Linked DNA regions of Elephas maximus indicus. The protein of the gene in region 1 purifies or fractionates together with the protein of each later gene. This does not show direct contact. Links are inferred from orthologs where the notes say so. Each region holds a gene or a part of one and is shown on either strand. Other genes may lie near its edges.

Region 1 (7,928 bases):
GCGCTCTGGGTCCTACCTCCTTCTGTCCCACCACACAGCGGCCAGGCCCAGCCCCTGTAGGGCAGCCATAATCACATTGACATCATAGTTGCCGGTGCCCAGGAGGCTGCGATGGGGGTTCAGCCGGGAGTCTGGTGCCAACCTGTTTGGGGGTGGTCAGTGCCTGAGTTGGGGAGTCCCTGGAAAGGGCTCACCCTCCCTACAAAGCAGGAGAGTCAACCCAACCTTTGGACTGTTTCCTCTCTTCAACCCCCACAACTCGTCAGCCCCTAGGCCCTGTCCCTCCTGCCTGGTGACTCTCTCTGCCATGTTCCCAAGGCCTCAGCTCGGGCTTTGTCTTCTCCCATCTGAACCCTCACCCCAACCTCTTCCCTGGCCTCCAGTCTCTCCCTCCAGTCCATCTCCTACATGGCCCTGCAGGGCTCTTTCTACACTCAGAGCTGGCCCTCCCTCTCCCCTGCTCACAGCCCTCCCTGGCTCCCTAGTACCTTCAGGATGAACTCTCAGCCCCTCAACTTGGCATTCGAGGCCCTGCACACCGCTTAGCCTCAGCCTCGCCCCACCCCTTCCCAGCCACCTGTTCCCCAACCCCATCACCAATGTTCCAGCCTCTCAGCCTTCCCTCCAGCTGTTCTCCCAGCCCGGGAGGCCCAGCCTGTCACCACTTGTTTCTGGGCCCCGCATCCTCTGAACAACAGTCCCTCTGTTCTCTATCTGCACCCTCAGTGGATAGGGCAGGGGAGGGACAGAGTAGGGGAAAGTCTAAGGATTATTTTCCTGTGTCTCTGTTTCCCTTCCCAGATCGAGGGCTCCCGCAGGGTCAGACTCTGTCTGATTCACTTCTGGGCCTCCAGCATAGTCTTAGCATGAAAGAGCTGATTAATCCCTGATTTGGATGATGGAGGAGCTGAATACATTGTATAAGAACCAGTCTGAGGGCTGGGACTCAACCTGAAGACACTGGGAGGTCTGGGAGAAAGACTATTCTGGCACCTTATGGGGGACAGGCTGGGAGGCTAGGGTGTGATTACAGGCTGGAGAGATCAGGGCCCGAGTTGGGGCTGGTGCTGCAGGGACAGAGAGGAGGGGAAGAGCAGAAGGTAAAGCAGTAATAAAGCAATGATGTGTGAAATCTTGAACAGTGAGGAGAACCATGCCAGGCTGCAGAAAGGAGGAAGCTATGCCAGCAGGAAAGAATAGCTTGTGCAAAGGCCCCGTGGTGGCTCAGTGGGTAAGTGCCTGGCTGCTAACTCACTAGCAGCTTCATAGGAGAAAGATGTGACAGTCTGCTTCCATAAAGATTACAGCCTAGTAAACCCTATAGGGCAGTTCCATTGACTTAATGGCAATGGGTATACCTGTGGTAAAGGAGTCCTGGTGATGCAGTGCTTAAGTACTCAGCTGCTAACCAAAAGCTTGGCAGTTGGAACCCACCAGTTGCTCCATGGCAGAAAGATGTGGCAATCTGCTTCTGTAAAGATTACAGCCTAGGAAACCCTATGGGGCAGTTGGAATCAACCTGAAGGCAATGGTTTTGTATACTTGTGGTTACAGTCCCATTCAGGAATAGGTTTACTTTCTTATGTCAATGAGGCAGTAGGGTGTATCATAAATTAACCTTTTTTGAGATATAAGAGAGCAGATTAAGCAAGCAAGCACAAACAGAGGGGAAGATACATGCCACATGATCACCAGGGAACCAAGGAACAGAAGCTAAAAAGAGATAAGGACTTTCTCCCAGGGCAGAGAGAGAGAGCCTTCCCTTAAAGCCAGAGCCCTGAATTTGGATTTCCAGCCCTCCTAAACTGTGAGAAAATAAATTTCTGTTTGTTAAAGCCACCCACTTGTGATGTTTCTGTTACAACAGCGCTAGGTAACTAAGACAAGCAGTTTGAGTTGAGGGGTGCAGTGAGAGACAAAGCTTTAGAGCTGGGTAGGGACTAGAGCACACAGGCCTTGGATCTCAGGCTGTGGGGCTGGGCTTTGTTCCAGGGTTACTGGCGAGCCATGGGAGGGATGTGAGCAGGGTCAGCTCTGGGGTCAAACGCAGGACAAACTAGAAGGGAAAGACTGGAAACTGGAAGCCCAGCAAGGAGGCTGGGACAAGGGTCCAGATGAGAGAGGGTGAGGCCTGACCTGGGACTGAGGCCATGGGGGCAGAGAGGAACAGGAGGAACATCTCCACCAGCCCAGGTGGGGTGAGCAGGACAGAAAGCCCCCCTGGCTCTGCCCTGCCTCCCTGTGAGACCCAGGCGAGTGGCATTGCCTCTCTGAGCCCTGTGTCTCCAGGTGCCAGCAGTTCGGGTGGGTGACAGTCACCTCTTGCAGATCTCATCGGCAGCCTCCTGGCTGAAGAGCTGCTGCTGCAGGACGTTGTTGAGGGCGTGGACGGCACACAGCTCCAGGCGCTGCCGCTCGTGGTACACGGAGGGCTGGCTCTGCCGGGCTCCTGGGGCCTGGGACATAACGTCCTTGGCTCCTGCGGTGGGGGGGCGGGGAGGAGTGGGACTCAGGGATTAGGATCTGGAGGCCCAGAGGCTGAGGCCCAACCTCCCAGCAGGCCCTTGGGGGCACCGCCATTGAGGTGGGGACTTGGGGGAGCCTGGGAGGACACTGGGCCCCGACCTGCTCCGTAGGCACAGAGGTATCTCCATTCCCTGCCCCTAAAAACAAGGTTCTCCTGTCCACCTAGCAACAGGGGACCCCCCCACCACATCCATAAGTAAAAGGGTCCCTATATTGGTCACCTAGCAACAGAGAAACGCCCCCCGTCCCTAAGTAACAGAACCCCTCCCTGGTTGCTTAGCAACAGAGGACCTCCACCCCCACCTCACTAGGTAACCAAGTCTCTATTCTGGTTATCTAGCAATAGAGGACTCCTCCTTCGCTGTCTCTAGGTAACAGGGTCTCTTCTGGTCGCCTAGCGACAGAAGACTCCCCCTCCCCTGTCACTAAACAACAAGGTTTTCTCCTGTCACCTGGCAACAGGGCCCACTAGCTAGTCACTAAGCAACAGGGTCCCCTCCTAGTATCACCTGGTAACCAAGCCCCTTCCCCGTACATCAAGCAGTAGAACCCCTTTCCCTGACCCGTACCCCAACCGCGGCGCTCGCCCGTTGCCTGGCAACGCCGCTCACCCCGCCTGCCTCTCCTTTCCCCCGAGCCAGGGGCTCCCGCATCCCCCTGGGCGGTGGCTCTGTGTTCCGAATGCTGGGCGGGCAGCGCGGCGCTGACTGGGCCGGCCGGACGGACTACAGCTCCCGGCGGCCCCCGCGTGCCGGACTACGACTCCCGGTGGCTCCCGCGGAAGCGCAGGCTGCGTACGGAACGACCGGGCCGCGTGGACAGTCACAGCTAAATAAGGTGGGACTACAACTTCCGTCGGCCTCTGCGGCGAACCCGGAAATACACCTCTTAGAGGCCCACCCCCTCGCGCAGTGTGGGTACTACTGCGCCCCCGGCTTCCCAGAGGATTCTGGGAAATGTAGTGCGTAAGCTCTCGCGATAGCTGCTTGGCTTATTGGCCCCCCCCCAGCCCCGCCCCCCCTTGTGCCAGTCTCTCGCTTGGCGTCACGTACGGTGTGCAGAGGCAGCGTGACGTCACAGGAGGGAAACTAGAGCCCAGAGAGACACCCGGACTCTGCAGGGGGAGGAGCCACCGATCTTTACTGAGACAGGAGGGAGATCTGGGGAAACTGAGGCCAGGCGAGGCGTGGGACGGCGGTGGGGGGGGTAAATGATATGCGGATGTTCTCTCGGGAGTGAAGAAGCTTCTCAGCAGAGATGGATCCCTGGCTTGGAGGGGAGCTGGCAGCAGCCTGCAGGGGAGAGGCGGAGAATTAAAGACTGGGACAGAGAGAGAGACAGAGATAGATATAAGGAGCATCCCAGCAGGGTTGGGGGGAGAAGTCCCAGAGAGAGGGGGACAGAGACCCAGAGAGAGGAGGACAGGGACCCAGAGAGAGGGGGACAGGGATCCAGAGAGAGAGGGATATAGAGACCCCAAAAAAGGACGGATATTTAGAGAGGAAGAGAGACCTAGAGGGAGGGGATGGAGACCTAGAGGAAGGGGATGGAGACCCAGAGAGAGGGGGACAGGGACCCAGGGAGAGTGGGTACAGAGATGCCGCGGTGGGGGGGGGGCCGAGGGAGACAGAGACCCAAAGAAAGGTGGTTAGATACTCAGAGGGGAACAAAGACCTAGATGGAGGGGAACAGAGATCCAGAAGAGAGACATGGACAGAGAGAGAGATATGAAGTTTCAAAGACTTGTAGGGGAGACAGTTAAGGAGCCTCAAATACAGACCAACCAGAAGGGACAGAATCAGAACCAGGCAGAGCCTGAAACCCACACTCTGTGGAACACAGGTGCCCAGGCCTCAGGGCAGGAGGGGCCCCTGACACTGGGGAGGGGCACAGCCGCACCCAGGAGGCTGCGCCAGAAGGCGGTGACCGTGGCAGAGCCGGTGACAGCGCCTGGCTCAGCAGGGTTCTCTCTGCGGGTGTGCACGACAAAGCTGCGGCCTGCTGGGCCCGGGGGTCCGCTTAGTTCCACATCCACCACGTGCATATCCGGGAGGCTGGGGCGGGCAGGGTGGTTAGTTGGGCTGGCTAGGCCTCGGCTCGCGCCATCCCCTCCTCGGCTCGGCTCGGCTGGGCTCTGGGCTCACCTGAGGTCAGCCACCAGCACCCCGATGACGCGGTCGAAGCCCAGGCTGGGGGCAGCCAGGGCAGCAGCTGCCATGGTGTTTGAGTTGCGGGGGGCCCAGGGGCACAGGCCTCGGACAGGTCCCTGGTAGAGCACCGTTCGGGGCCCAGTCCTGGGGGCTGCGGCCAGGGGCCCCTCTAGCCGGAAGCCATCGGGGTGTGTGGCCATGGTGACGCGGAGGCTCTGGAAGCAAGACCTGGGGTCAGGGGGCCTCTGCAGGCCCCCTCCCAGTTCCCAGGGAGCCCTATAGGCCCTCACCTGAAGGCCCCCTGCCTTGTCCAATCTGGTGATGTCCTCAGAGCCCCACAGGGCCCCCCGGGCGACAAACACGGCATGGCCCCAGCGATGGGAGGCCTCCTGGAGCCGCTGCTCTGTGGCCTGGTCAGCCAGGGCTGAGGGGGACCCCACCTGGGGATGCATGAATGGGGGAGGGGCTGAGGTCAGGGCGTGTGGATGAGGTGGGGTTGAGGCTGAAGGGACAAGGTCCTGGGGTCACAAGGAGGGGCTTACCAGCAGATTCGCGTGGCGCAGGATGTGTGCCCCAGAATCATGGATTATTTTGGGGTGGGCCACTTCCACCACCACATCAGGGTGCCTGGAAGAGGGGAGAGATGGGAGAGGGTATGGGAGAGGGCTTGGCCCCCTGCCTCCCAATTCCTTCACAGGCCGTATGCGCCTGTCTCCTTTTACGTGTGGGTGAACTGAGACCCAGAGAGGCTAAGGGTTTTGTCTGAGATACAGCAGCTGAGAGCAAAGCAAAATCTTTCAGGAGCCCTTCTGGACCTGACGAGGTCACTGACCTCTCCCTGAGGGCAGCAAGATCCTGGAGCTGCAGAGAGGGGGGCACAGTCCCTGCCATTCGTCCTTGGTCCCGATTCCAGACAAACACAAGTTCTAGGCCCAGTTCTGGCCCCTGAGCCAGCAGGTGTGAGACGAGAGACTGTCCTGGGGGAGAGGTGGGGGAGAGGGCTAGAACCTGTGAGAGGGGGACAGAGGCCCAGAGAGAGGGGGGATAGAGACCTAGAGAGAGAGGGACAGAGACGGGGGGGGGCAGAGATCCACAGAGAGATGGGGGGCAGGGTGGGGGGGGCAGAGACCCAGAGAGAGGGAGACAGAGACCCAGAGAAAGAGGGGGATGGAGATCCAGAGATGGGGGGACAGAGACCCAGAGAGAAGGGGACGGAGACCTAGAGAAAGGGGGGCATGGAGACCCAGAGAGAAGGGGATGGAGACCCAGCGGGCACAGATAAAGACACAGGAGGAGGGGGGACAGGGACTTGGCCTTAAGTAAGAGGTCTGGAGAAGGAGGCCCAAGATGCTCAGGACTCACCGAGGCGTCCGTAGCCCACCACCCCCACCCTCCAGGGGGCTCTGTCGAGGGCCATGCCTGGACCTGACAGCAAATGTCCGAGCTCCAGCTGCTTCTCCCTGTCCCCCCGCCCCCAGCCACCACACACAGGAGGCCTGGGCAGTGGTGACCTTTGGACATTTGGCCCTTGGGCCTCTCTGGAAACTTCCACTGAGCTGGGGGAGTGGGTTTGCTGGAATGAGGGTGGGTGAGGGTACTTCCCTTCCCTCTGAGGTGCCCTGAGTGTGCTGGTTTGAGACTCAGGGGCCCCGCATGGCCCCCACTCTATCCGGGCCACCTTCCTGCCTTGCACCCTCCTCCCTTCTTGCTGTTGTGGAAAATTTCCTCTGCAGTCCCCCGCCCCCTTCGGGCCGGCCAGGTTGCCATGGAAACTGCATCCTGCTTGGGGTGGGGGTTGAGAGTGCTGGGAGGGAGCGGGAGGAGCTGGGAATAGGGGACTCTGGACTCTCAGCTTGGTCCTCTTTCTGGGTCTCTCCCTCCGCCTTGGCACCAGTGTGCTTCTTGTCCATAAAAAAAGAAAAGAACAAAAAGCTCTGAACCCGTTACTGCCGAGTGGATTCTGGCTCCCTGCGACTCCCTGTGCGGACCCCTTGTCCCTCCCTGCGGTTCTCTCTGAGTCTCCACCGCGGGGCTCTCTCTTCTTTGTCTCTCTGTCTCCAGCCCTCCCTGCCCCTGCTACGTCTCCTCCTGGCCTGGTCTGTTGCAGTTCTGTCCCCAGCCTGGACCCAGTCTGCCTCTTCTCCCCAACCCGCCTGGCTGGTCCGCCTAGCTGGTCCTCGGGTGGCCTCAGCCCCGCCAGCTCCTGCGTTTCCCCAACCTGCCCTAGCCATGCCCTTGCTCCAGTGGGCCCTAGTCGTGGCCCGGCCCCTCCTCGCATCCCCCAGCTCCCAGGCCTTACCCAGCACCTCCCTCCTTCCTCTCATTGTCCTTCAGTTCACCTTGACTTTTCACCTTTCGCTCTCCCGCGCCAAGATGCGATCAGCCACACCCCCCCTTACATCCTCACTACCATGCCCTTCCCTCCCCGCCCAACTCCAGGGGCCAAAGAGATGGCCCGAGGCCTGGAGAGTTCCTGAGTGGCCCCCAGAACGCGCCCTGCCCGGCTACTGCGCCTCTGGGGTGCCTGGCACAGAAATGGCGGAGGCTGAGGCAGCCCCGAGCCCTGCCCCCAACTACCACCTGGTACCCGCTGCAGTGTTTCCATGGCAACCAGGATCCGCGCTGAAAGGGACCAAGAGGAAAAGGGAGCATGAAAGGGAGGCTGGGGGCCTGGGGACGCCCAGAGTCCTAAGTTGACAGGTGGTAGTGGCGGAAGCAGATAGTTGCAAACTGATAGGGCCTGAGACCCCAGACACCTCGCCGCCTGGGGAGGCTGGCGGGGGTGGGGGGGGGCCTGATAAGAGGAGAATGTGCCTTAAGAGCCCCAGTGGGGTGAGACAAGATGCTACAGGGGCAGGAACAGTCAGGGGAGAGGTGCCGGCAGGCCTCCTCAGGCCTCCCCAATTAAGCCCTTTCTGCCCATCGCCCCGCCCCCCCATGGTCGTCACTTGACCTGGGCTGGTGTTCCACGGTGTCTGCCCACGTGAGGGGAGCAGGGGGGCCTGGAAGGGGTGCCTCCCTCTTGTGGTATGCAGCTGTCAGGCCCCCTCAGGCTCTGCTCACCCCTCTGTCCTCACCTATCTAGACAGGCAGCTGTCTCTCTCCTCTGTCTCTGTCTCTCTCGGCTGAGACGTGGGTGCCTGGGTCTCCCCTAGACATCACGCACTCCCTCTGCCCAGCAGCTGCCCCTGGCAGAGGGCTCTGTCCCTTCTAGGCAGCGGTGTCCCCTCTCCCTGTCCCCTCTGCTCCCCA
Region 2 (8,265 bases), on another chromosome or scaffold:
AGTTTTGTTATTTTATTCTCTCTACTTTTTGCTGATTTAAATTTTTTTAATAGTCACAGGTATTTGTTGTTAGGTGATATTGAATTGGTTCTGACTCCCAGTGACCCTATGCACAACAGAATGAAACAGTGTCCGGTCCTGCACCATCCTCACAATCACTGCTATGTTTGAGCCCGTTGTTATAGCTGTTGTGTCAATCCATCTCACTGAAGGTCTTCCTCTCTTTCACTGACCCTCTACTTTACCAAGTGTCTTAGTTATCTAGTGCTGCTATAACAGAAATACCATAAGTGAATGGCTTTAACAAAGAGAAATTTATTCTCTCACAGCCTAGGAGGCTAACAGTCTGAATTCAGGGCACTAGCACAGGGAAAGGCTGTCTCTGTCAGCTTTGGAGGAAGGTCCTTGTCATCAATCTTTCTTTGGTAGAGGTGTGTTATGGATTGAATTGTGTCCCCCCAAAATATGTGCCAACTTGGTTAGGCCATGATTCCCAGTATTGTGTGGTTGTCCTCCATTTTGTGATTGTAATTTTATGTTAAAAAGGATTAGGGTGGGATTGTAACACCCTTACTAAGGTCACATCCCTGATCCAATGTAAAGGGAGTTTCCCTGGGGTGTGGCCTGCACCACCTTTTATCTTACAAGAGATAAAAGGAAAGAGAGGCAGCAGAGAGTTGGGGACCTCATACCACTAAGAAAGCAGTGCCAGGAGCAAACTGTGTCCTTTGGGCCTGAGGTTCCTGCACTGAGATGCTCCTAGACCAAGGGAAAACTGATGACAAGGACCTTCCTCCAGAGTCAACAGATAAACAAAGCCTTCCCCTGGAGTTGACACCCTGAATTTGGATTTCTAGCCTACTAGCCTACTTTAACAAAGAGAAAATACATGTCTGTTTGTTAAAGTCATCCACTTGTGGTATTTCTGTTGCAGCAACACTAGATGACTAAGTCAAGGAGCTTCTCAGCACAGGGACCCCAGGTCCAAAGGATGCGTTATGCTCCAGGTGTTTCTTTCTTGGCGGTATGAGGTCCCCATGTCTCTCTGCTCACTTCCTTCTTTTATATCTCAAAAGAGATTGACTTAAGACAAAACCTACTCTTGTAGATTGAGTCCTGACTCATTAACATAACTGCCTCTAATCCTGCCTCATTAACATCATAGAGGTAGGATTTACAACACATAGGAAAATCATAGCAGATGACAAGATGTTGGACAATCACACAATACCAGGAATTATGGCCTAGCCAAGTTGACACATATTTTTGAGGGACACAATTTATCCATAACACCAAGCATGATGTCCTTCTCCAGAGACTGGTCCCTCCTGATAACATGTCCGAAGTACATAAGACAAAGTCTCACCAACCTCACTTCTGAAGAGCATTCTGGCTGTACTTCTTCCAAGACAGATTTGTTCCTTTCTTTGGCAGTCTGTGGTATACTCAACATTCTTTGCCAAGACCATAAAGACATCAATTCTTCTCCAGTCTTCCTTATTCATTGTCCAGGTTTTGCATGCATATGAGGCAACTGAAAATACCATGGCTTGGGTCAGGTGCACATTAGTCCTTAAAGTGTCATCTTTGCTTTTTAATACTTTAAAAAGGTCTTTTGCGGTAGGTTTGCCCAACGCAATGTATCGTTTGATTTCTTGACTGCTGCTTCCATGGGTGTTGATTGTGGATCCAAGTAAAATGAAATTCTTGACAACTTCAGTATCTTCTTCATTTATCATGATGTTGCTTAGTGGTTTAGTTATAAGGATTTTTGTATTTTTTTTTTTTTTATGTTAAGGTGTAAACCATACTGAAGGCTGTAGTCTTTGATCTTCATTAGTAAGTGCTTCAAGTCCTCTTCACTTTCAGCAAGCAAGGTTGTGTGATCTGCATATCGCAGATGGTTACTAAGTCTTCCTCCAATCCTGATGCCTTGTTCTTCTTTATACAGTCCAGCTTCTTGGATTATTTGCTCAGCATACAGACTGAAAAAGTACAGTGAAAGGATACAACCCTAATACACACCTTTCCTGATTTTAAATCATGTAGTATTCCCTTGTTCTGTTCAAATGACTGCCTCTATGTACAGGTTCCTCATGAGTACAATTAAGTATTCTGAAATTCTCATTTCTTGCAATGTTATACATAATTTGTTAAGATTCACACAGTCGAATGCCTTTGCATAGTCAATAAAACACAGGTAAACATCTTTCTGGTATTCTCTGCTCTCAGCCAGAATCCATCTGACATTAGCAATGATATCCCTGGTTCCATGTCCTCTTCTGAATTTGGCTTGAAGTTCTGGCAATTCCCCGTCAGATGTACTGCTGCAACCATTTTTGAATGATCTTCAGCAAAATTTTACTTGCATGTGATATTAATGATATTTTTTGATAATTTCTGCATTCCATTCTTTGGAATGGGCACAAATATGGATCTCTTTCAATTGTTTAGCCAGGTAGCTGTCTTCCAAATTTCTTGGCCTAGATGAGTGAGTGCTTCCAGCACTGCATCCCTTTGTTGAAACATCTCAACTGGTACACTGTCAATTCCTGGGGCCTTGTTTTTCACCAATGGCTTCAGTGCAGCTTGGACTTCTTCCTTCAGTACCATCAGTTCTTGACCATATGCTACCTCCTAAAATGACTGAATGTGGACCAATTCTTTTTGGTACAGTGACTCTGTGTATTCCTTCCATCTTTCTTTGATGCTTCCTGCATTGTTTGATATTTTGCCACAGGTACCTACCTGAGGCCATATGGCTAATTAGTGGGGTAATTTAGACTAAACCAGGGCAGGATCTTGACTGATTACCAATCCAGTCTTCCTTCTCTATGGCCTCAGCCAATGATCTGTTTATGAATTGAAGGATATTTGTCATTTTGGTCCTAATTGGGGCAATTTTTTTTTATTGTAGTAAAAACAAAATATATATATATCACAAAAAATGTGCTGTTTCAATCAGTGTTAAGTGTACAATTCCATAACATTAATCACATTCACCATGCTATGCAACCATCACCACTATTCATTCCAAAAAACAAAAAACTGTAATCACCCCAAACAGAAACCCAGTACACCTTAAGCAATACCTCACCATTTCTCCCTACCTCCAACCCCTGATAACTTACCTACTTTCTGTCTCTATGCATTTGCCTATTCTAGGTATTTTATATAAGTGAGATCATATTTGTCCTTTTGTGTGTAATGTTTTCAAGGTTCATCCACGTCACAGCATGCATCAGAACTTCATTTGTCTTTAATGACATTCCACTGTATGCATGTACCACATTTTGTTCATCCATTCATCTACTGAAAGACATTTGAGCTTTTCCTCAGATACTTTTTTCCTATTGAAAGTAAAACTGCCATGTATGTTTTGTATTTACATCTTTTAAAATAAAAGGAAAAAATTCTAAATAAAACAGAAAAGTACAAAGAAGGAAGAAATATCAACCCACGTCTCATAACTTAGGGAAATTATTATTCATATTTTAGTTAATATTCCTCTATGTTGCTATCTGGAGTCCCAGTGGCACACTGGTTAAGAGCTCAGGCTGCTAATCAAACGTCGGCAATTCAAGTTCACCAGTTGTTCCTTGGAAACCCTATGGGGCAGTGTGACTCTGTCCTATAGGGTCACTATGACTTGGAATCAGTGCGACAGCACGAATCTGGTTTTGGTTTATGCTACTATCTGAAGTCCCTAGATAGTACGAACAGTTAATACGCTTGGATGCTAACTGAAAGGTTGGAGGGTCAACTTCACCCAGAGGTTCCTTGGAAGAAAGGTCTGGCAGTCTACTTTCAAAAAATCATCCATTGAAAACTCTATGGAGCACAGTTCTACTCTGACACAATGGGGTCACCATAAGTTGGAATCCACTTCATGACACCTGGTTTGTTTTTTGGGGGGTGGGGTATATGCTAATGCTTTTAACTGAATTCATATTACACCTCCTCCTCACTTATCAACTACCTTGTTATCTGACATTTCGCATTTACTACAATATTAAAGTATCTACTATTCAACTATTTTGCACATTAACAACGTAGGTCTGGGAGCAATGAACACCCAAGTGCAACGAGAGAATAACGCTGGCTTTCATGGTTAAGGTTATGTGTTAACTTGGCTGGGCCAAGATTCTCAGTGGTTTGGCAGTTATGTAATACCTTGGCATAACTTGGTAATGATGTAGTCATCCTCCATTTTTGCATAACACAGATTTCACACAGTCTTTAGAACCTAACCGTGTTTATAAGTGAAGAGATGGTGCATTTTCCATGTTGAGTTAACAGGTAAAAAGATTTGGCCTTGTTTAAGGCAACTCGTAATTCCTGAGCCTTTAAAATTCAACCTAGTGGTACCTAACTCCTTTTGGAACTGATTTTTAACTTCCAAACCCAGACTATGACAGCAACCATCACAGCAGTCAAGGTCTCCTTATATTCTTTCTAAAAACAAAACCATTAGTTCGCAAAGGTGTTAGGGTTCTGATTTCACGGGGATGGGGGAAAAACAAAAACAAAAACAAGCCACTGCAAGCCTCTGGCTGCGGTCTCGTCACGTGACGCTGCCCCTCTGCCTTTAAATGCCCGCGCACGTGATCGCAGACTTGCACACACACAGGAAATTCACGCTGTCAGGATAACGGTTCCTCCACCCCTACCTTCCCATCTATAGGGTTTCTAGTGTTTCCTCCCTGGAAGCGGCAAGTCCTCTGGAGACTTTCTCTTTCCCATCCCCTTCTTCAGGTCATCTGTCTTCAGTCCCTTCCGTTAGTCGCCAGCCCCAGAGAGCCCTCTTCCCTATAGAAGTCTAGCGTACCTTCCTGAGGAAGGGCCCAAAGGGCCTACAACTCCCAGGGGGCATGGCGGGCTCGCCCCCTCGGCGGCGCGCGGTGCAGGTCGGGGGCTGAGGTCCCACGATCTTTTCGGCGCGTGCGGCCGGGAGCGAGCGCACTACAGGTTCCGTGGCGCCTCGCGCAGGGGCCGGGCTGGGGAGGGGCGGGCTGGGGCAGGACGGGCCCGGGCGGGAGGGCGGGCGGACGGAGGAAGGGGGTGGGAGCGGAGGCGATGGAGGGGAGGAGTGGGGGAATGGGGGAGGGAAGGGAGGCAGGAGGCGGGGCCGAGCCGGAGCTGGAGCCCGAGGCGGCCGTTGCGGCGCAGGCGGTGATGTCGGTGCAGGTTGTGTCAGCCGCGGCGGCCGCCAAGGTGCCTGAGGTGGAGCTGAAGGACCTGAGCCCCTCCGAGGCGGAACCGCAGCTAGGACTGAGCACGGCGGCTGTGGGCGCCATGTCTCCCCCGGCGGGCGGCGGGGACCCTGAGGCTCCGGCTCCGGCCGCCGAGCGGCCCCCGGCCCCCGGCCCGGGCTCCGGGCCCGCCGCCGCGCTCAGCCCTGCCGCCGGGAAGGTGCCTCAGGCGTCGGCCATGAAGCGGAGCGACCCCCATCACCAGCATCAGCGGCACCGCGACGGCGGCGAGGCCCTGGTCAGCCCCGACGGCACCGTCACCGAGGCGCCGCGCACCGTCAAGAAGGTATTCGGGCCGGGCTGCCTCTCGTGGCGAGGCCGGGACGGCGGGGGGACGGCAGGTAGTCGGCCGGCGGCGCCCCCCGCGCCTTGCGTCCCGGTCCTGGGAGCAGAGAGACCCCTGGCTGCCGAGCCGGCCCTTCAGGCCGCAGGGCTGGACAGCGCCCCTTCGCGGCAACACGGAGGTAGCGCGCCCTCGGCTCCTGGGAGCTGGCAGGGCAGCAGAGGCACCTAGTGCTGCGCCCCACCCCTGCACCCCAGCACATCTCGTGTGTCATGGTGCGGACTCCGGGGGGGAGACCCTGATGATGTAGGAAAACCGCATCGTTTAGGAGAGCCCCCCCCCAGCAAGGTGGAAAGAGCTTTCCTACTTGGAGAGCTGTAGGTGCCTCGCCTTGGGACCCTCAGTTGTCTGGTGTCTTAGGGGCGATGAGTGGCCGACGCTTCCATGGAGTAGTTCCAGGGCTGTGCCCTTCATCTCGAGAGACAGCAGTATCCTTGCCTCTTCTGTGAATAGAGAGGGTTTTCCTCTCGGCTCGGGATTATTAGGCTGGTTCGTTTTTTTACCATCTGAAAGTGTTAGGAAGAAATACTGCTTTGGGGGAAAAGTGATCACTGTGAGGCTGTCCTGGCTCAGCTGCCAGCTTCTTTCGGAAATAAGTTTGACTCCTTAAGACCACCAAGGAGTAAGTGTGTCGAGTAGTATGATACCCAAATATTATTCTCACTTTAGCTATCCTGGTGTGTCACTTTCTCTTGAAGCTGAATCAGCCCAGGATAACAAAAAGGCAAATAGCTGAAAAAAGAGTTGATGTGGATCATATAAAAAAGAATTATGGGTCTAGTTTCACAGGCACAATGTGAGGACAGTGATTCGTGGTTTTCCCTTTGATTGTTCTGAATGATTTTAATTGCTTTGTCAGAATAGCAATAAAACGATGTGAAGTCTGCATTGGTTTCTCTGAGTAGGACTCAGCTGAATTGGAACCTTGAACCCAGCTAAACTTTTTTGCTGTAATAGCTGCATGGTTAAGTTATAAAGCAGATGACCTTTTCGTTGTAACTACCCAAATCTAGGCAGTAAACAGACGATGTCGAGGCAAGTCTGAGGGAATTTGTTTAATGATGGTGCAGGTCAATGCCCTTGTCGTTTATAGTATGACGCTCCTGGAGGAATTAGAGGTGGTTAGAGAGGCAGCTTGGATACTGGTGGTTCTCCCTATTGTACACAGACATGAGTCTGGAAATCCTGAGTTCTTTTTTTGACTGGTTGAATTGCTTTATAACTTTGTTCAAATCTTTTCCCTGTAATTAAGACTTGACGACGACAAGAAGGTCTTTTTTTGTGTGGAAAATTTTATAATTTGATTAGATTTCTTGAGGGTAAAACATCCTCTTCTTGAATGTGGTGTTTCTGGTCAGGCAGACCTGAGTTTAAACCTTACTTCCACCGCTAACTAGCTTTTGGGTAATTTTCAAATTCTCTAAATCTCGGTTTCGACTTTTATAAAGTGAGGACATGAACACTATAGAACAGGAGCCCTGGTGGCACAGTGGTTAAGCATTCGGCTGCTAACTGAAAGGCTGGCAGTTTGAACACAGCAGCTCCTCTGTGGGAGAAAGATGTGACAGTCTGCCTCCATAAAGATTAAAAGCCTTGGAAGCCCTATGGGGCAGTTCTGCTCTGTCCTATAGGGTTGCTATGAGTTAGAATCAAGTCGAGGGCAGTGGGTTTGGGTTTAATATTAGAGAGAATTAGAAATGTTTGTAAAGGGCTTAGCATTGAACTGAGCACATGTAGTAGGGGTAAAAGAAATGATAGCTATTATTATGATGAAGAATTGATTTTATTTCTCTCATTATAGTGTAAATGCATATCACCATGACTGCTTCTGAAAGGTACGGATAGTTTTAATAGATTCTACATAAAAAGTTAAAAAATCACAGGGTAGCATACCAGAGTCTGTTTTTCTTAATTCTAAATATGCTTCTAGACCATTTTTCCTGTCACTGAACCACCTTCCTTTATAAAAATGTGGTTCCATGATTCTAGACTTACTCAGCAGCCTCAAGGCTGTGGAAGACAGGGCTGAGCTTGCCTTAGTATGTTAATTGCACCAAAAAGCAACTTTTCTGCTGGAAGTTAAGCAGATGAAACTCTGGACAGGGATACAGCTGCATGACACAATTAAGGACATTGATAGAGCTGCTTCTTTTGGGACAGAATCTTTGACTTTCTTGGTACAGGCAGCCCGTGGATTACGAATGTCAGGTTTACATACAACCCATAGTTGTGAACCAAGCCCTGTAAAATCTGAAATAATACAATGGTTCATAATAACAAATGGGCACTACTTTGCAACATGTGTCAAAATATTATTATCATTACTGTATTATGTTAAAGATTATGGAAACCCTGGTGGCGTAGTGGTTAAGTGCTACGACTGCTAACCAAAGGGTCAGCAGTTCGAATCCACCAGGCGCTTCTCGGAAACTCTATGGGGCAGTATGCTAAAGATGTTTAAGTGTATCTGGAAGTGTTTCTTTAATGTTTTTATACGTAGAAAGTTACACTATATGCTGGGATAAACATTTGACTATTAGATTCTGAACCATACCTAACTGTTCCGATTTACATACAAATTTGACTTAAAGACAGACTTAGAAACAGGACTCATTTGTAATCCATACTCCCTGTATTGGATTGGTGAGTGAAAATAAGTGCGTGATACTA

The links. The genes of interacting proteins can lie anywhere in the genome.
Region 2: the proteins of JOSD2 (region 1) and AHCYL2 purify together in Homo sapiens (affinity purification with mass spectrometry; 3 studies listed by BioGRID and IntAct, counting the BioPlex papers as one, with this or other methods). This does not show direct contact. The link is inferred for Elephas maximus indicus from reciprocal best matches to the Homo sapiens genes JOSD2 and AHCYL2.

The regions. Positions count from the first base shown.
Region 1 is NC_064829.1:97,910,115-97,918,042, reverse strand, and holds the start of JOSD2 (josephin-2), read right to left. Parts: upstream 3,282-7,928; 5' UTR 3,096-3,281; intron 2,480-3,095; 5' UTR 2,466-2,479; coding exon 2,320-2,465; intron 143-2,319; coding exon 17-142; intron 1-16. Other genes in the region: ASPDH (aspartate dehydrogenase domain-containing protein), read right to left, coding at 3,775-3,818, 4,426-4,580, 4,671-4,891, 4,967-5,116, 5,219-5,303, 5,509-5,653, 6,039-6,093. UniProt on the Homo sapiens protein: Cleaves 'Lys-63'-linked poly-ubiquitin chains, and with lesser efficiency 'Lys-48'-linked poly-ubiquitin chains (in vitro). May act as a deubiquitinating enzyme.
Region 2 is NC_064826.1:20,868,732-20,876,996, reverse strand, and holds the start of AHCYL2 (adenosylhomocysteinase 3), read left to right. Parts: upstream 1-5,116; 5' UTR 5,117-5,175; coding exon 5,176-5,538; intron 5,539-8,265. UniProt on the Homo sapiens protein: May regulate the electrogenic sodium/bicarbonate cotransporter SLC4A4 activity and Mg(2+)-sensitivity. On the contrary of its homolog AHCYL1, does not regulate ITPR1 sensitivity to inositol 1,4,5-trisphosphate.